2 linked regions of the Medicago truncatula genome follow. The protein of the gene in region 2 interacts with the protein of the main gene of each other region in a pairwise test. Links are inferred from orthologs where the notes say so. Each region holds a gene or a part of one and is shown on either strand. Other genes may lie near its edges.

The links. The genes of interacting proteins can lie anywhere in the genome.
Region 1: the proteins of transcription factor BIM1 (region 2) and protein FLC EXPRESSOR interact in binary tests that used the Arabidopsis thaliana proteins (3 or more experiments, as listed by UniProt). The link is inferred for Medicago truncatula from reciprocal best matches to the Arabidopsis thaliana genes BIM1 and AT2G30120.

Annotation. Positions count from the first base shown.
Region 1 is NC_053046.1:32,258,585-32,269,137, forward strand, and holds the start of protein FLC EXPRESSOR, read left to right. Parts: upstream 1-6,348; 5' UTR 6,349-6,467; coding exon 6,468-6,988; intron 6,989-9,581; coding exon 9,582-9,748; intron 9,749-9,866; coding exon 9,867-9,946; intron 9,947-10,135; coding exon of another isoform or gene 10,136-10,193; intron 10,194-10,553. UniProt on the Arabidopsis thaliana protein: Transactivator required for FRIGIDA-mediated activation of FLC and for the expression of the repressors of flowering AGL27/MAF1 and AGL31/MAF2. Does not alter expression of known activators of FLC expression.
Region 2 is NC_053045.1:53,844,802-53,855,712, reverse strand, and holds the start of transcription factor BIM1, read left to right. Parts: upstream 1-6,649; 5' UTR 6,650-6,937; intron 6,938-7,212; exon of another isoform or gene 7,213-7,230; 5' UTR 7,231-7,625; coding exon 7,626-7,662; intron 7,663-7,783; coding exon 7,784-7,867; intron 7,868-9,784; coding exon 9,785-10,180; intron 10,181-10,911. UniProt on the Arabidopsis thaliana protein: Positive brassinosteroid-signaling protein. Transcription factor that bind specifically to the DNA sequence 5'-CANNTG-3'(E box). Can bind individually to the promoter as a homodimer or synergistically as a heterodimer with BZR2/BES1.

The DNA.
Region 1 (10,553 bases), on a different chromosome or scaffold from region 2:
CTGTATACACATGTTAAAGGGCTGAGAAACACAGTAAAAGACCAAAATACCCTTTCGGTAGTTAACTGCCGAGGAAAATATAACCGGCTGTAGTTAACTCCCGAGGAAAACTTCAGTTAACTGCGCCGAGGAACTTAAAACCTGAAATTAAATAAGGAAATACACCTAAGTTTTTCCTTAATTAAATTTAATTCTATAATAAGGAAATATTTGTAATTATTTATAATTAATTTCATTGATGTCTATCATTATTCAAGGTAATAAAAAATATTTAACAATATATTCTTAATCTTGAACAATATATAATGTATGATAAATAGTAGTGTTGCGTACAAGGAATGGCTAATTATACAGTGAAAATGCACTATGAGTCAAATCTTAGCACTATTAAGAATAAATATTAAGAAAAAAAAGAATAAATATTAAGAATATATATTGTTCAAGATTAAGAATATTTTTTTATTAACTTTCAAATTTTTTTTTTTTTACATCAATGAAATTAATTACAAATAATTATAAATAATTACAAATATTTCCTTATTAAAGAATTAAATTTAATTAAGGAAAAACTTAGGTGTATTTTCTTATTTAATTTAAGGTTTTAAGTTCCTCGGCAGTTAACTGCCGAAGTTTTCCTCGTAGTTAGCTGCAGCCGGTTCTATTTTCCTCGACAGTTAACTGCCGAAGGGGTATTTTGGTCTTTTACTAGTGTTTCTCAGCCCTTTAACATGTGTATACAACAATTCTCAAAGTGTATTCTCATTAACTGAATTGAGTTTGATACAAGACTGCTTTATATAGTAACCTGAGATACACAATAGCCGAGTTACTTGACAGCTAAGCAACCAAAAGAAACTAACTAATACTCAAGAAACACTTCCCTAAACTGAACTTCATGATACACAAAATCAGTTTACAAACATACAAACATACTGAATAGAAAGACAAAGAACTAAAAAAAAACAGCTTAGCTAGAAACTTCACAGATGCCTAGCAAAAATGTCTCAAACTTCAAAGGCTTGGTCATAATATCTGCTATATGTTCTTGAGTGCTGCAGTGTGACATCTCAACTATTCCTTATTTTGTAAGATCCCTGAGAAAGTGGTATCTAACATCTATATGTTTACACTTCCCATGCAATACAGGATTTTTGGGCAGTTTAATAGATGAACTATTATCACACTGAATGACAGTGCAATTTGTTCCAGGATCCTTCTGAGCTAAACTGCTTGACAAGCACAAGAAGCTGCAGCTACAAACTCTGCTTCAGTAGTGGACAACGTAACAATTGGTTGTTTCTTTGAGGACCATGACACTGACCCTGAACTCAATTTGAAGACATATCCTGTCATCAATGTCTCCAGCATAATCTGAATATGTCCATCCTTGCAGTTTAACACTTACTTTTCTTTCATACATGATTCCCAACAAGGTTGTTCCTCTGAGGTACCCGTACCTGATTACTCTCTTAGCAGCTGCTAGGTGAATTTCAGTTGGTCTTTCCATATATCTAGCAATAAGACAAACTGAGAAGGTAAGATCAGGTCTAGTGGCCAGCAAATACATCAAGCATCCAATCATCTGCCTGTACTGAGTAGAGTCCACAACTTTTCCCTTTTCATCTCTTGACAGCTTGTTTCAAGGGACTATGGGGTTCAATACTTTGTTGCAATTTTCCATACCAAATCTAGATAGAATTTCATTTGCGTATTTCTGCTGATGAATGAATATTCCTCTATCCATCTGCTTGACTTCCACACCAAGAAAATACCTCATCTTGCCCAGATCTGTCATGGAAAATTTATTTTCCATAGAATGTTTGAACTCTTCAAACACTTCTTCATCATTTCAAGTGTAGATTAAGTCATCTACATACAAACTTACGGTAAGTATTTTTCCTCCAGTTTCTTGCCTAACAAACAAAGTATAGTTCTATTAGTGTCCCATCTGGTTACAGGAGCAAAAACTTCATTGTAATCAACTCCATACTTTTGAGAGTACCCCTTTGCTACTAATCTGGCTTTGTGTTTTTCAACTTTACCATTTTCATTGTATTTTGTCTTATAAATCCATTTTACACTAATCTTCCTGCTTCCAGTTGGTATCATTTCTTTCTATGGCTTCAATTTCCTGATCCATAGCCTCTTTCCAACAATTGAACTTTGCAGCTTCCTCATAAGTAGCAGGATCTTCTCTATTACTGAAAAAGCCAGAGTCTGAAAACTGCTTTCTTCTTCTTCTGCTTCTCTTCCTAAGATATAGTCTCTGCTCCATACAGGAGGTTTTCTGATTCTACCAGTTTCATCTTCTTCTTCATTGCATAACTTGTTAGTTGTTACAAATAAAAAAATAAATAAACATCACAACATCAAAGCTGCATCGAACTGTACGTTCATATTCCCATGCATAATATTAGAGAACTAGTAGAAGATATAGTAGAATCAACCGTAAATTTAAACCACAGAGTGTCTCATTTTTTTAATAAAAGTAAACAAATTTAAGCTTTTCAGTCTTATCATATAAAATATTTAATTACTAAAATATTGCGTGTATATACACTTACGACTTGAAACAGAGAAAAATAATGATGTGATATTTTGGTAGCCGAAAGATGGGAATCTGGATATACCAGAAAATAGGTAGAGCGTGTCAAATTTAAGAGACAAAGATGTGAACAAACGTTGAAGGGAAGAAGTGGAATATGATAAACTGGTTTGTGATTTGTGTCAATTTTGATCCCCTTACTTATATTCTTTTAAGGATTTTATTCACCTATTTTGAAATTTGATAGTTTTAATTCCTCAATCAAATGTTTGGTTTAAAATATGATAATATGATATGTTTTAAATAAAATTTTTAAACAACTTTTTTTTTATAACGTCATCAATTTTTTTCTTCCTATCATCGAATCATAAACCACGTTATTAATTTTTTTAGTTAAAAAAATATGATGAAGGGACAAAAAAAATTATCAGATTTTTAAATAGGGAGACTGAATTTGTAAAATGATGAAAATATTATGATCAAAACTACAATTAAATTAAGGGAGCTCTACGGTCATGAAACTGACTTTTTTTAAAAAAGTTAATTTTAATTTTAATGTTTGATTCATTTTTAAATTGTGGATTACTGATTAATGATTAATAGTAACTCATCTAGTAATACTTGCAGCATCTTGAACTTATAGATACTATTTTATTGTTGACATCTTTAACATGCAAACAAAGTTGCTGATATCATGTGATAGTCTTAAGTGTTACACTTTGTGAGGTGTTACACTTAAAACAAAGTAGGATAAAATTAGATTAAGTGTATTCTTGTTAATCTGATGAATTGATGATACTATGAGGACTGAACTTTTGATGTCATTGTATAAATAGTGGGGTGTTACTCACAACACTTTTGATGTTATAGTGTTAACTTCACCAGATAAATCATTCTCATGACTTCATTGTAGAATTTTCCTTAAATTAAAGGGGAAATCGACGAAGCATTTCTCTCGCACAAAAAAAAAAAACGACTAAGCATATAGATGACCGGTTAGTATTTGAGTAAATGCTAGTTTTATCTTTCATCTATTTTCTTTATTACCACCTTACCTATGTTTACCAAGTATGGTAAGTGGTTTCTTATTTCGTCAAATTTCGTTAGAATGCATGGGGTATGGACTCTTACCTAGCTTAGTTAGTTTCAATCAAATTAAAAGAAACTAACCAAGTTTTTTTTTTTTTAGAAACCAACCAAGTTGAGGTAGTCTTGTTCGCAAAACAAAATTGAGTGGTCTCTCAATTTTGAAAACGAATTCAGAGATTCAAGATGATCATATATAATAAGTGGATTGCAAATTGTTAAAGGAATCATAATAATTAAGATATAAGGGTAACATTTTTGTATCCACCTCAACAGAGAAGGACAAATAGAAAGATTTGAAGCTCTTTTATTCTTCCTCTCTCACTGAAATAGCTAGCTTTGATTCAATGTGAAAGCAAACCTGCACATGCAACGTTACTACATCTGTTTTCCTTGAAAACCATAACATACCTTTTATTTTCTCACTTTTCCACGAAATCCACCATTTCATCCATCATAACCCAATACCCACACCTAGATTTTACTACTACATGCCCTCAATATTCTCAACGGACAACTTAATTAACTTTTTTCTACCATTAATTAAATCATTAAATCATTTATGCTTGTGTATCACTATCCTCGAATTGAATCACAAATCCCTAAATCCTAAATTCAATCCCCAAATTCCTAAATCTCAAATTCCTAAATGTCATACAATTCTCTATTTTGTTCAAAATCAAATCTTGCATTAAACGCCAAAATCGAATTACATGATGTTGAGTGTTGGTGCAATTTGGGGATTTAGGGATTTGAGGATTGAATTCAGGATTTAGAGATTAAAGATTCAATTTGGGATATGATCTTCGATTTCAGGGACCAAAGTTACCATACCATTTTCTACTTTTACTTTAGTTCTTGTGATACATCATATGTCATGTCAGCATAAAACATTTGTCACGTCATCGGTTAACAGAATTATTTAATGTTAGGGACTAAAGTGATAACAGAAATGCACATTCAATGATTACTTTGTATTTAATCTTGAGTCAGAGATCTGTGCAGAGTCAGTTACAAAGTGACCATTTACTCTAATAATAAACATGACATCTAATTTGGATATAAAACTATGAACATTAGCTAAATCTAAAGGTAAAACTAACTCCCACCCCAACTACCTAAACACATGATACTACACCTGACATAATAAACCTAAACATACGATACTACACCTGATCTAAAAAAGACGTCTAACAAAAAGGTGATAAATTGATGTTTATTAAATTATTTTTACAAAGGAGGTGTTTTTTTTTATTCGCCAAGGGAGGTGCTAATGTGTTGGGTTTAATTTATATGCATCATCGGTGTACTCAAATTTTACAAATGTTGTCACGTTATTTGATGAGGTATGACGAGTCATGTCTTTTTGACTCGTTAAACAAAGTCACAACATATTATCGGATTTTTTTTTTGTGGTGTTCAAGGTTCGAACCCCGGATCTTGCATATATTGTGCACTGTCCTTGCTAATTGAGCTAAGCTCACGTGAACACAACATATTATCAGATGATGCATCTGTAAAATTTTGTAAACATCACCAATAATGTTTTAGGCAATTAATCCCCTCAAATTGTAAGTTTCGGCAATTACCACCCTAACGTTAACAAAACTTCAATTACCCCTATGAAATTGTACAATGTTAATCAATTTACATCATCCGTCAAATTCTTCTGTTAGTCAATATCATGTTTTGCATATCCCCCTGAAGTTTTGCACTTATGTGCGAAATGCCCCCCGAACTTGATTTTTTTTCTTATACTTAACTCAAAAGATATTAAAGACAAACAATTAACATAGTGGTAAATATTCTTGTAAAAAATGTATAATATATTTTTCAGCTTAGCTACATATTTAAATTGATATGTTTTGTTTTATAAATAGAATAGATAATATTTTTTTAACCAATGATTAGATGAAATTATTTCTAATGGTTTTAGTCTGCAATACTTATCTGATTGTGAAAATTATATCAAGTAACAATATACACTATTATCATTTAGCAATATAATTCATTACCATGTGGCATCATCCACTATTTTGAAATCACATAGATATGAAAGAATGAAATGAATAGTAAATAAATACACCTCTTAGATTAAGCAATAGTCTCATAAATCTTGCTTTAGCTTTGGATTAAAATTGGAGATGCATTAGTTTGTCAGCAAAATTAGAAATTCATTTCACATATTGTTGGGTTTTGGGAGTTTTCTTGTGTCTCATTGTTGTTGTTTATCTTCTTGTTTCATTCTTGCACATCTTGTGTCTCATTGTGCTTGGCTGTGGTTTTAATAGTATAAGTATATTTTGCCTTTGCAACAAAAAAAAGTAGTAGGTAAGTAAATGTTAAGGGACTGAAGTTGAGCCTATTAAGTAGATCATGATAATATTGAAACATAAGAATGAAATAGAAAATCATTAGTGCAGAAGAAACAGCTATTCAGTTTCATTAAAGTTAAATGATAATTATTTACTTTTAATATCTTGAGTGAAGTATAAGAAGTAAAAAAATATAAATTTTCAAATTCGGAGACATTTTGCAAAGTGTCAAAATTTCAAGGGTATTTACAAAACGTTATGTTGACTAAACGAATAATTTGACGGAGGGATAAATTGATTAATTGTGCAATTTCAAAAGTAATTGATGTTTTGTTAATGCGAGAGAGAAATGATTGACGAAAGTAACGATTTCGAGAGGGTAATTGGTATTTACTCGGGAAAAATTATGTAAACCATTTGAATTGAAAGGGAATGAAATAACGAAATTTCTCCGTAGCAGTGAAGCCTGAAACCAGAGTCACTCCTCTAATCCATTCTTCCCCGTCCGTGTAAAACTACAAATGGCAGGACGCAAACATCACCACCACCATAATCTTCACTCTTCTCTCTCCCGCCGCGACGAGCCACGTCTCTCTCATTCCTCCTCCTCCTCCACCTCAACCACCGCCCTCGAAGACCGCATCACCACCCGCCACCGCGAAATCCAAACCCTCCTCCACGACAACCAACGTCTCGCCACAACTCACCTCGCCTTAAAACAAGACCTCACCGCCACTCAACAAGAGCTTCGTCAGCTCTCCGCCGCTGCCGCCGATGTCAAAGCCGAACGAGACGCCGAGGTCCGTCGGATCTACGAGAAATCGCTTAAGATGGATGCTGAGGTACGTGCCGTTGCGGCGATGAAGTCTGATCTTGATCAGGTAAGGGCTGATGTAAGGGAACTTGCGGAGGTAAGGAAGGAGCTTGTGGAACATTTGCAGAGTGTTCAGAGTGAGCTTGCTTTGGCAAGGGAAGATTTGAAGCCATTGCCGATTATTAAAGTTGATATTGAAGCTTTGCGCCATGAGATTCAACGAGGAAGGTAAAATTTTCGTTGTGTTAGTGCTGTTATTGGCTTTGAATTGATATTGAATCGAATCATATGCGAATGTGAATGTGAATGTGAGGGAGAACTTGCTTTGTTAGTGTTGTGATGTGAGAACAATTGTTAATTTTTTTTTTGCGCATTGGTGGCATGTAGAAAGAATGAGTTTCAAAAAAGAATTGAAGCACAAAAGTTGAAGCTTTTAGATTTTGATTGTTGAATGTATTTGGGTTTTTGTTTGTTTCAGTTCTCAAGTAGCGGTTATTGTGTTCCAAAATATGAACAAATCCCTATTGTTTAGCAATATGATATCTAGTACAAAGTGTTGTTAGATAGCGGCTATAGTTGCCCTAGTGTAGTAGAATTTGATTGAGCTGCTATTTTTTGTAATCCACTATTGTCAACATTGGTTGGACCGGCATATCCTTTATAAACTTACTCGGTCCTTACATAGCCATGATACATAGGCCCAATGCTGAGGTATACAGGCCCATTACCGAAATAGATAATATCAATACCGACATAGACTTGTGTCCCAGGGAGAGACTAAGTCATACCAGCACATAAGCAAGTGCTGTTTGCTCAATCAAGCAGCAACGATCACGGATAATACTGGGGTGAGTGGCAATTGCAGTTATCCGAGATCAAGGGCCATGACAGGGTCCTTAAGCAAACCCTAACCCATTCACCTTTTACCACGCAAGCAGTTTTCTCAGACCTTGATCACGGTACATCACCGGCAAGGTAGCCCTCACGTGATCAAGCATGAACATTGGTGATTTTGAGTATGTATAAATTTTGGACAATTCACTCTTGAGGTGCATCAGACTAAAGACTAAACAAGATTAATGAAGTATTTTTGTAACTAATTTTATTTTAGTAATTAGCTATGAATCACCAACACAAACAGGAACACCAAACGACACCACTGACATGTAGTCTGTAGAGATGATATTATTTTATTAAATAGAAGTGATTGAATGTATCTACTTGTGTCGGACACCAAACTCACCTTTAATCTAAACTATGCGTGTTATATATAGTTCAGGAAAAATCTTGGTCTAGATGGTGACATGAATATGCTATGAGGAATGATACCATTTTTAATGATGGTAAATTTGCTATGACTAATATACTAAACCTTATTAAATCCCAGACTTGGTTATGTATTAAAGTGAAGGTTGAGGATCCTTTATTGTCTTTCTCATGTTGGTGCATGAATCCAATATCTTGTATTCTTCAGTGTTGTCAACCTTATTAAATCCCAGACCTGGTTATGTATTAAAGTAAAGGTTGAGGATCTTTTATTACCTTTCTCATGTTGGTGCATGAATCCAATATATTGTATTCTTCAGTGTTGTCAAATTGCGGCTATAGCGTGTTGGAATATGAACAAACCGCTATTGTTTTTCAATACTCTATTTTGTACAAAGTGGTGTCAAGTAGCGGCACTATAGCACTGTAGCCTAGCGGAATTTGAACAAATCACTATTTTCCGCAATCTGCGTTTGATAACATTGGTATTTTTCAATTTGTTTTGTAAGATGGGTTGCTTGGATTGGGTTTTCTGTAAATTAAAGTGCTGGGTGGTTTTTTGTGGTCTGGATGGTTGTATCTGAGTGGTCCATAGAATTGCAGGTGGTTTCGGCCACGTAAAACTTTAAGTATTTGCTACTGTGGGATGACTTCTGGTGTTTCTCGTGTTTATTTTCCATGTAGACCAATGGTGTGACTTGATATCCCAGTATAGTTGGTGTCTGTAGGGCTATAACATTTATAGTGGTGTCTTTACTTGGCTAGTTTTGCATTGTTTGTTGTCACTTTAGCTTGTGGGGGATTGTGTTCTGTTGAGCTGCACCCTTTTGTATTATTTTGCCCTGGTCTGTGGCACTTGTGCTCAGTTTTTTCAAAACTCAACGAATTCATTTGCTTACCGAAAGAAACCATACAAAATGATGGGGAATTAATGGGAGAGGTAAACCATTCAAGCTGGATGAAATAAAGGAGCGCTCTGAGAAGACCTATTTAAATTCTAGAGAAGAGAGTAGTTCACATGAAGGTTTGTTGAATAGTTAGAGGGAGAGGTAAACCAATGAAAACTGTAGACTAAATTAATTTGCTTGTTTCATTCACATTGTTAGAATCATGACCGAGTCTTGATTCATTTATCTGATTACTGGTTGAAGTTATTCACTTTGTCTTATTTTAATACTATCAAATTGAAAAACTATTGTACCCCCTTAAATGACGGACCAGTTCATGTGAAAAACTATTCTTATGTTATGACTTGTTAAGTCTGTGGAAGCATGTCTGATTTATATCTCAATGCTATTTGTGCTATTTGTTTACCCTGATTTCTAATATAGAAGTCTGCAGTTGGTTCTGTTGCTTATCAAACTCTAACCAAAATAACATTTAATTTGAACATCTAGATGTTGTAAATGCGCTCCTCCCAAATATACCTGCTGTTTTTTCTTGTTACATTTTTGGAGCACCTAGTCAGATGCTAGGGAAAAAATCAGTCTTTACCATTGGGCATTTTAAACTTCGATTTGGGCATGTTTTAACTTTTATTCACTGATTCATGTAGGAGTGCTATTGAATTTGAGAAGAAGACACATGCCAATAACCTTGAGCACAACCGGGTAATGGACACCAATATGATCATCATGACCCGTGAGGTTGAAAAATTACGTGCTGAGCTGGCTAATGCAGAAAAGAGGGCAAGGGCTGCAATGGTTGCTGCTGCAATTCCAAGTAATTTGAATTTCTTGCCCATTCACCTTGAAGTGCTTACTTTATAATGCAACAGAAATATAAATGGAGACTTTGAATGAAGTTTATGTTCTGAATCTTTGGAGTGGTTTCTATGCAGGTCCTGGATATCATGCAAACAATCCTGAAATGGGGTTTGGTGGAATCACATATCCTCAAGATTCTTATAGCATGCATCAGGTACGTTGCGACATTAATCACTAATTTTATTTACTTTTCATGTGTTAAGTATAATCTCGAAGTAATCATGTGACAAACATTGTCTTTTATTGATGAATGAAAAATATTGTGATGTTTGTTAACATAATTTATCTGAAAGAAAAGAGACATACTGAACCTACTTCTAAGAAGATATATGTAATTTACAAGGTGAAGGTAGTAGCAGCAAGTATGCTCCGTTTCAAGGTTGTCAAACCCGAGAGTCTAGGTAAACTTTACTAATAAATTTGTAGAAGTTTACCTAATATTAAAATAACATAGATATGAGATATGTAATGTAAATAATATAATATCATTAAAATAAAAATAATTCAACAATTCATCTCAATAACAAAGCATAATTAGTTTTAAATAGATAAATATTTATTATAGAATAATATTGACCAAAGTTTTACTCTTTTAAATCAATATATATTATAGAGCATATGAATAATCAATATCAAATAATATTAACCAAAATTTTACACTTTAAGGTCAAATCAATGTAGAATCGTAAACTACCAGTAAAATCGCGAGTTTATCAAGTTTATTAGAGTTTACCTGAACTTGTAAGAGTTTATCAAAAAGA
Region 2 (10,911 bases):
TCAATATATATTGTATATATTATTTATCGTCGTTTATCAATGATTAATTTATTTTTTAGATCATAAGACATAATATAGCTTTTCCTTTTTTATATAGATTTGTTCATGCAATATCTATAAATTGAACCTCTGATCATACACAAGTTTTTTCGCTTTTGATTTTTTTCAATTAAGATGATAATTGAATTAGTAAAAATAACCTATAATTTTGTTAGAAACGAGGTTATCGATCAAGATTTTTTAGCCTCGTGAACATTTAAATTATACTTTCAAATTACAAGCCATTTTGACTATTTTACATGAATTAAAAAATAAATAATAAATAATAAAGAGTATAATAGAAAAAATAAAACTAATGTTTTTTAATATTATTAAATAATTTATAATTTGATTTTTTTTTTTTGTTATATCAACTTATAATTTTTTTTGTTACATGAGAAAAAGTCAAAGTAAAAACTAAAAAACAAAAAAAAAATACTGATTGCAATGATAAGCAACACTCATACTGTCCGTCGTAAGCAATAAACGAAGCTCAATTCGAGGGTTAAGCACAATCAATAAATTACTTGTAGACTTGTACCAAGTTTGGCTAAGATGTCAGCATACATATTACCGTCTCTGAGAGTGTGACATAGTTGAAAAGTCCAATCTTTAGCTTTGTATTTTCTTCCCTAAAAAAAAAAATGTATTTTCTAATAATAGCTATCTCATTTCTATAGTGGTGAACTGAAACATCAGCATACTCATAGTATATATATGGAATCATTGTAACAAATAATGTCCTATATTCTAAGACGGAGGAGTAAGATGTAAACTATAAACTAAAAAGCATATATAACCAAATACATTACTATAACCCATTGCAACTTTAACATTTATCCTCCTTAAACAAAAACTTAATTATCCAAAAGGAAAAGTAGAAAGATAAAGATATCGTCGTCACTCCTCGCTGTCCTATTGTATCTTTGCATCACAACGTAAATGCTCGCCATGATTACCGGATAGCTAAAGAATCGTTTCATTAATCTATTGATCAATTGATATTTGTTTATTTAATTCAAAGTGAAAGAAATAATTATAAAACACGATTTAACAAAACAAAAGAAGGTAAGGAGAAGCTTACTGGCCGGCGGAAAGAGAAGAAAGTCCGACACATAGGTTTTAAATTCACATGCCACTACATAATCAACTTAGGAATGTGACAAATTTATAAATAATATTGAGATTATTATATTTAAAGAGCCGTTTCTTTCAATTATATGCATGATAAATTAAACTAAGAAAATGAAATGCGTGGATTAATATGAAAGGTGACAAAAAATTAAATAAATAGCAAAAATGATATAGCCATACTGAAATAATATACTATCATTTATGGAAACCCTAATTAAAGAATGGGGAATACAAGTACATGTTTTGAAGCAAGCAACCATATGTGTCGTTACATTTTAATTGCGTATATAAAAACCGCAATTAGTGGAAGTACATGTATTGTGCATGTATGTGGTGGGTATGAATGAGTGTGAGAGAATCTTGAGGACCTTGCACATGGAGGCATAGGGCAAAGCATGTAGAGAAAGTAAAGAACAAAAACATACATAACATTGTTTAATTATTGTTGATGATCAACAACATTGTTTAATTATTTTTTGATCAATAACATTGTTTAATCTAAGAGACCCTTTAAAAAAAGAATCCCGTATTTGACGGCACAGCTAAAAAGATCAATTTCCATGCTTCAGAATATTGAGAAACCTGATGAGAGATGGTACATCACGTGACATTTCTTCCTTCATTACCAACACATACTGCTTTTCCTCTCTGGCTTCATTCTTCATTTTCTATATCTTGTGAATAAAAAATAAAACAAGAAAAATGTTTTTACTCATGGTAGTAGAGTTTAGCTTAATAAATTTAAATGCAATTTAGTTGGATAATATTGCTTGGGATCTGTGCACTAATCATCGTATCCATATTTTTATCTCCTTAATTTCATTTTAAGGACATCAACTGCTCACTGTTCCGTTCCCATGTCAACGCTTGTTCTGGTCACGTTTTCTCCCCACGTGATTGGCTTCTTGCATTTTTTTTGAAAGAAAAAGACTGTCTTCTTGCATTTATCAGTTACTACTACTAGTAGTACAATATTTTTTGGCATCAAAGTAGTTATTGCGAATGTCTTATAGTAAGAAAATATAATTTCAATTAAAAATATAATAAAAAATGACATGTTTATAAAATGTATTGCTAGTGTGTATTTTAATTTTATATAAGTTACCTAAAAAATATGATTCATGGTATTTAATTGACATATGTCTTTAAAATACAAATAATTATTTGTTTACTGTTTAAAATAAGTAAATACCTCTATCTTTTTTTTAAACGGTCATACCCAATTTGATTCTCCGTTATTCAATTTAGTCTCTCGCAAAAAATAATAATCCATAAAGTTCCTTGTAATTTTATACCTGAGACAAGTTCATTATTTTTTTAGGGTACAAATTAATCTTTTTTTTACAAGAAATTAATCTTTTATTGATTTTGAGTAATATAATAGAAAGCTAATTTTTTTTAGTATAATTATAACAAAAGTCTAATTTTTAGGTACAAAATAGAAGGCTAAATTATTCATGTATAAAAATGTTTGAGATAATATTTTTGTTTAAAACAGAGATAAAGTTGGGATCACAAGGTTCAAGCTGGGGATATCGGGTTTGGTGGTGTCTAATCTCCGGTATACATGTTATTTTGTTAATAGTTGTGTCACAGATGTTAATTTGGATGTAACCTTATTGGGGATGGTAGAGTCTGGGACATCCAATATAATTCGGAGATCATGTTAAAATTTTGATAATTTTTCGTTTCAAACAAAATTGAAAGAAAAAAAAATAACATCACTTATGGTGACTGACAATGGAAGAGAAGTTTTTGGATGATGGAAAATGTGAAGGAAAATAATGGAGAAATCTTTCGAAAAATTTAAAGAGAATTTTTTAGAGAATGATAAATTAATGCATAAGATTACTATATATTTAATTTTAAAAATTTAATAACAACATAAATTAAATTTGAAGAATTCATATAAACTCTCCAAAACCCTCCTTCAATACAATTTTTAAGTTTCCCCAAATGAGGAGAGTTTTGTATTATGAAGAAAAGTTAACCCTCTAAAACCCTTACCTCCCATTTTCCTCTATTTCTTCCACTTGCTCACTCCTTTTTTCCCAAGCATTCCCCTCCCTTCTCTTCCAAACTCGCAAACAAAGCCTAAGTTGTAGTTAAATATAAGAGCAATGTTTTAAACATGGATTTTACCTACAGACATATAGGAATTTATCTGTGAAAAATGCATAATTGACAACATAAGACTTTTACCTACGATAAAAAGATATTTAGTGACGAATTTTGGCCCCAGGTACAAGTTCTATTTTTTCTTCCAAATTTTAAGGCCCCTTTAGATTTAAAGCCTTGGGAAGAGTGGTACTTGAATTTTACGCTTTGTCTTTTCCTTTCATGTATATGGGCCTTCTAGGGGGATGATATGAGCGAAGAGGTGACTTTAGGATCGCCCGGATCAAGCTTGTTTATAGATCGTGGAGCAACTAATTTGTTAGTTTGGGTGGGGTAAACTTTAATTAATTTTGTCGTTAATTTTATCCCTATATTTTGCCTTTATTTTTGTCAAGATGCGTTTAAGGTGTGGATAATGGAAACAGATCGTGTGTCTCCAGAGAATTTTAATTTGAGGCCGTCTATAGGAGGCCTACCAAGTTTTCACGAGTTCATTGCTTTAAGGTTTGCAAGACTAAGTGTACATGAGGCCTTGGAGTGCGGGAATTAAGTCTGTTTAATATGACCTTTTTATGTCAGCGGTGTTGGAGGATTTATTCTGGAGGGTCGTCGGGGTGGGGATAAGAGCATCATCCGTTTGGTGGAAAAGTGTCACAGTAGGTGAGCATCATCTACCTCATATTAGTTCTCAAAATGGGTAATTAGGGTGGTCTGCAATAGGTGAGATACTTTCTTCAGAAGCAATCCTTGGGTGAGATCGGTAACCTGAAATATCCCCTTTCAAAGTTTCTTCTTGGTTTTAGAATAAAAACGTTTTAGGGTTAGGCTTTAGAGTAACTGGATGGGGATTCCTTGGTGTGGTACTTTAGATGGAAGAGATGACTTTTTGCTTTGGAGCAAAAGCTAGGTACCAATTTGATGGCAATTCTATTAGATTTATCCCCCTCAAATGTTTTCGATCTTTGATTGTGGAAGCATGATGCCAATAGTTTGTACTCAATTAGCTCAATGTACTCGGTGCTTTCATAAGCATCTCAGTTGATGGTCGTTCGGGAAGTACTATTTTTAGCGAATGTTTGAAATAGACGAACGTCTTATAAGCAAATTGTTTTCTCTTGGAAGATCCTACACGATAGAGTTTCTACTCGCCGTTGTATGTGGAAACAAAGGTTAATAATGGATCTCATTTGTATTTCCTTGATGTTTTGTGGGGATCTGGAAGAGCCTGATAGCCATTTGATTTTCACTAATGACTTTGCTTCTTGGGTGCGGTATAATTTTTTTAGATGGTTGGGTTGGGAGTTGATTTTGCCTACAGTTGTTTTTATTTCATTGTATAATATTGCTTTTTGTTTGCTATTTTGTGATCTCTTAGACCTGTAATATAACACACACACATTAGAAGTGTTGGAAATAATATTAATAATTGAATGATACTATTAAAAATTGAAAAGGATCTATCAACTAGAGACATTCAGTTTTATAAATGAATCACTTATTATGAGATAGCATGACTATATTCATTTTTTCTTTGCAACAGATAGGGGTATGTTCTTATTTGATACGATGAATATTCATCTACAATGAAATTTCATTTTATTTCAAAAATAATTAAACTAAATTTACTATATCACACACTTTTTTTTTGACAAATACGTTACACTCTTTTTATTTTATTTGCCTTTCCTTAAAATTTCATGTATGTAAGATAAAAATCGAATTTGACATATACCCTTTTTAGTGCAACGATGGAAACCAAAGTATTCTCATCTTGGGAAGAGAACATTTATACATACATGCGCAGGAGATATTAAATTTTGGTCTAATGTTTTTCCTTTTTGTATTTTTTGGTCTAATGTTTTTCCGTTTTGTATTTTCCTTATTATAGCACAAGATGTGTATCAAATAGAAGAAAGAACAATCGAGACCTAGAAAAATAAAACCTAAAACAACGGAAAGAAACAGCACACCAAATGTTGTTTCAGTGAATAACAAAACAAAGAAAATTTAGTGGATTAAACTACCATTGATTCAAACCATACATACTTGAAACTTTTAGTCTTAGATTTAATCCACCACGAAATCTAAACTTTCACTTTATCTAAAATCTAACGAGATATCGGTTCTTTATGATCAAATAGACGTTTATTGCGTTCTTTAAAAGTCTCATGCACACGTCGACTTTGTATGTCGAAAACAAGCTTGAGATTCCTTGTTATTAGAATGAAACCCTCTAAATTGATATGCATGCAAAGAAGCAACATTCTAAAGAGCATTAGAAATGCTCGACCAATTAATGACACCACACGTAAATAAATAATCTTTTTATAGAAAGTATGTGTTTAAGGAACCGTCATGCAAATAACGACACCTCTGAATAAGCAACTTTATTTTAAACAAGTTATGAATGAACAACCGATTCTTCCATCTTTTCTTTAGTAAGCATTTTATAAAATCATTTGACTTGACCAACTATGAAACATTATCCAAGTTATACATTTATTGAGAAATGTTAAATATTAATTAAAAGTCACGTTGTTGTGTCGTTTTATATTTATTAACTAGTTAAATCGTCAACTTTATCAAACATATTAAATTCATCGAGTTAACTTATCCACTATTCGATACAAATTCATATTATTAAATGGTTTATCAACTATCCCCTATTTTTCTTCAAACAGACCCTCATTTGAAAAAAAAAAATTTCAAACTCAAATAAAATATTGACTACATCTTATATCCAAATATCTTCATGTAGGAAAAGCAACACAAAATCATACAATTTATATCAACGAACAATAAAAGTTGAAAACTATCTCGATTCTTAATTTAAGATTGAACATTTGATATAAAAAATTTACGATGCAATTATTACACCGTATTCTTCTTATATTTGTTAAAAAAATCATATATTGGTTCAACATTCACCCTGACCCTGATATAGGATAAATGTTTCTGTGGAAGTACTGCACTAGTACTACATATGTATCTTATGGATTAAAGAAAATCCAGGACACAAATAACAGTATTATATTTTTACTGACACGACCTAATTAATTCCGTAATAAGGGATCACGGATTGCGTAAATATAAATTAAAAATATAGTACTACATCTGCTTAGGGATTGCCGAAGTATTAGAAAAAGTGTTAGCAGAAAACAAAGATAAATTAAAAGTTTTTCACTCTGCTTACCGTGTGTTTGAAGAAACGGCGACGTTTACACAGAATAAACCGTTAATTATTGACTTAACTCCGTTACCCGCCGCAACGTCGTATGTAAACGGAGTTTAAAACTTAACGGAGAAAAAAAAGAATAGAAAGCAAATAAAACTGGATGGCGAAAACACAGAGAGCAGAGAGAAAGTATATAAAAACATCTTTCATCTCAATTATATATCAATATCAATTCTCAAACTCAACAGAGAAAGTTAAAGGGTCCGACCCGAGACCTCATCTTTCGCTGCAGTGCTCGTTTTCAGAGTAACATAAGAACCGATAGAGAAAAAGTGATTATAAGAAAAAGCGCGGCACACAGAGAAGATAGCGCTCGAAGAATCTCTTCTACATCGTGCTCTGCTTCAAGTGTCGCTTCTCAATTCTCAATTTCTTCTGGTTCATCACTTCAGTTACTCAATTATCATTACGGTAATTCACTTATTTTTCAATTTCTTGTTTCTTAGTGGAAATTCGCACGCACTAGTAATTCGTTGTTTGGATCTTTACTTTTTTCAGTTTTTTGATGTATTAACTTCTGAATTTTCTAGAGTTTAGTGATTTTTCAAGCCGAATTATGCTCATGAGTTTTATTGTGTTTAGTCTAATCAGAACTGAAAACGTGTTGAATTTTGAAGTAGAATTGAACTTGAATTATGATTCTTCTTTGTAATGTCTGATTTCTGATTCTGTGAAATTTTTAATAGGAAGCTCTGTGATTGTAGATTTTGGAGTAAAATTGTGATTATCGAACGACCTTCGTGGAAGTCAATTACGAAAGTTTCATTGCATAAGCAACAACTCGAAGATAATCTACAACGATAATTCGAACCGTAAGCTCTTGATTGGCGATTAAGGACGCAGTGCTTGAATTCACAGTAATTCGTAAACTAAACTGAACGAATGTGTCTCCGATCTTCAACCTAACAAGAGAATTACGGTTTCTATTAAATTCGGATCTGATCGAAGCAGCGAATTCTCCATCCCTGTTTTGCCTTCAAAATTCAGAGATAATTCAGTCTTCAAAAGCGGTAGCAGAATTGTGTTCTATGAGATTTGACCGAATTTCAAAATTACGTTGAATTACGTACCAGAGAAGAAAATTGAGATTCAAGTATTGATGGAGCTTCCTCAAACACGTTCTTATGGAGCTGGAGGTAGTTATAATTTTCTTGTTATATTATTGTTTTTTTGAAAAAGGAAATTAATAATAATTAACTTGATTTGAATTAATATTGTTTGGATGAGGTTTTCTGAAACTTTTCTGTGCGGAAACAGGAGCAGGGAGGAAATCGACGCATGATTTTCTGTCGCTATACAGTAATTCAACTGCCGAACAAGATCCAAGGCCATCTGCTCAAGGTACTGTATAATTTGTTTTTTAATTTTTGGTTATTATTATGCAAAATGATTCGGTGTGTGAGATTTTTCTTTCCTATGTTGTTGCCATGTTTTTTTCTGTGACGTGGGGATCATGGTGCAAACCTAAATATCGTATTATAAATTCATCACGGTCAATTTTCTGCCAAATAATTCAACTGTAAATAAAAGCAGTTATACATCATGCTTGTTCCTGCACGTGACCTCTATTTAATCACAGGATCTGGGCCATGCTTCTTATTTATGGACTGCGTATTAATTATATTATTATTATTTTTAATTAACAAAATTTCCTATGGTGGATTCCGAAGGATTTAACATCAAACGGAAAAGTGTAAATCACAATGTATTTTACACCGTCCGATAAAGTGTGCAGCATGAGGATGGGTGGGGGCCCAATTTGATTGGACTTGTAGTTGATTTGACATTTCACATCAGGCTCGATAAGGATTGGCATTCCCGTGTGCGTGTGGTGTAGTTTTTCTGTTCTTTTCGATTGCAAAATTACACTAATCTCAGTTCACCAGCGTTAAGATCTTAATTAAGAGAATGAAAATGAAAGGCATGCATTTTTATTATTTCTCTAATCTTAGTTTTTTATTTTTATTTTTTATTTTTAAATTGAGTATCTCTTCATGCAACAATAGTGATTAATCTCGTTGAATATGATCATAATAAATGAGAAAGTTATCCTTACAAAGAAATTTTGAATTCAAACCTTGGTTAAATTGAAAGAAATAGTTATCATCCCATTTAAATGCACTTAATCTTCGTGTTATTAAACTAACAAAACATGCACATGTTTAACTCTTTTTGCATTTTAGGAAATCTATAAGTTAAAACAATATATATTTTGTACCCTATACTGTGAGAGATCCTTAACGAATATAATTGGTGTTTTAATTTTGGGCTAAAAAACCAGTATAATTGCATTACTATATTCTTTCATATGGACCATTGTAACAAACTTTCTTTCATATGGACCATTGTAACAAACTTTCAATTGTTTTAATATATAAGATCATTTTTTTTTAAAATTATTTGAAAAATTTATTTCCAAGGAAAATTTACAAGTATGTTTAGTAATTGACTAACAAAATGTATCCTTTCATTCTCCTCATTTTTCCATTATTAACTAATAATAGCTAATATTCTATAAATAATTAAATAAATATTACAGAGTAGAGTTTAAAATAAATTCCTCAAATTAATTACTAATTCATGAAATGTTTTTTTTGACAAATGATAATATATGGAAGTTATAACAAACAGGATTTGAGGATTGTATTTTAATATTAAAGTGATTCATTTTTTAAAATTTGATAACTTTAATTTAAACATGTTTGTAAATCAGAACTCAGCACTGATGTGTTACTTCAAAAACAAGATTTATATTACGTGTATGTAAGAAGTGTATGTTGCAGTAACAAAAAGTTAATTTTACTAAGAAATTTGACATTTGTTGTTGTATTTTTTTGTCACATTTTAACCAAAATTAAGCTATAAAACAAATTAGATTCATAAAACTATTTAAAAGATGATGCAATATTTGCAAAAATAAAAAAAAGTGATGTAATAATTATTTCATATTCACTTGAAAATTGTATTGTATTTTATTTCATATTTTGCGAATCCTAGAAAATAGTTTTGAAAACTGGAAAAAGTTAATATTACTTGCCTGCGCACTATTTAATGCACTTACTTGGCATATGCTCACGAGTCTTTTGCTTCATGCACAGAAATGAAAACGATATGTATCAGCTTTTCACAGAATCGTTAGCAAGCTTTTCGCAGTATTTGTGCGTTTTTTATTTTCAAAATTATTTCGGTTATATGAAGGAAATTGTTTTACTTCCCTTGACCTGCATGTCATTATTTCCTTCTTTCATGCATGAACAGCAAGTTTCCTCAAGACCCATGATTTCTTGCGGCCACTAGAGGAGGTAGAAGCAAAATCCAGTGCCAAGGAAGAAGCCACAGATGAAATCTCATCGGTGGTTGAGAAGCAACCCCCTTTAGCAACACCAGCTTCAGTTGAGCACCTCTTACCTGGAGGAATTGGGACTTACAGTATCAGCCACATTAATTCCTGCGTGAATAATAATCAAAGGGTTCCAAAGCCAGAAGCATCATCACTTTTCACTGTGCATCAAGCAACTAGTGCTGATAGAAATGACGACAACTCCAATTGCAGTTCACATACTTCAAGCGGTTTCACATTGTGGGAAGAGTCTGAGATTAGAAAGGGAAAGACAGGAAAGGAGAATAATGTTGGGGATAAACCCATTATAGGAGGTAACCATGAAATATTTTTTGAAGATGTTAAGTAAGAAGTATATATTTTTTATTTTTATTTTGAATCAAGCAAGAAGGATTATTTAAATGGAGAATAATAAGGATAATTCAACCCATTAAAGCAGCCTACACTATGCTTTAAACATCCCATATAAATTGAGCACAAATCAGAATAATATGACAAGATTTTCTACACTCTTTACATATATATGAACAAACCCCAAGATACTAACTAACACTTTAATTTGAAAATTAAGATAAAAATATGAAAGTAATAAAGATAGAAAATGTTTGGGGCGTCAATTTCCTGCATTTTCTTATGATTTCAAGTAAATAAAACACTACAACTCTGTCTAAAAGTCTTTGGCTAATAATACCCCAAGAAACCGTAGCTTTTATTACTAGAATGGTTTTTGAAGTGATAATATAAAGTGTTAGTTTTTTTCTTTCGCCAATGGTTTTGCCTCTCATACCGGATTCATTCATGAAAATAACTGATTGAAAGGGCTTTATTGATTTTATGATATAATTAATACTTGACACATTATTTTAAAAAATGATCCAATCATACCTGTAATTATTTACCTTATTTTCTCAAAATATATTCCTTGCCAATTTTAGTTGTTTTTGTTTGTAACGTGAAATTATGCCTTTTGTCCACACCACGGATGAAAGTCAGCTTAATTCCGTCGCTATATAAATTAATATTACAACATTTGTTCCAATTATTT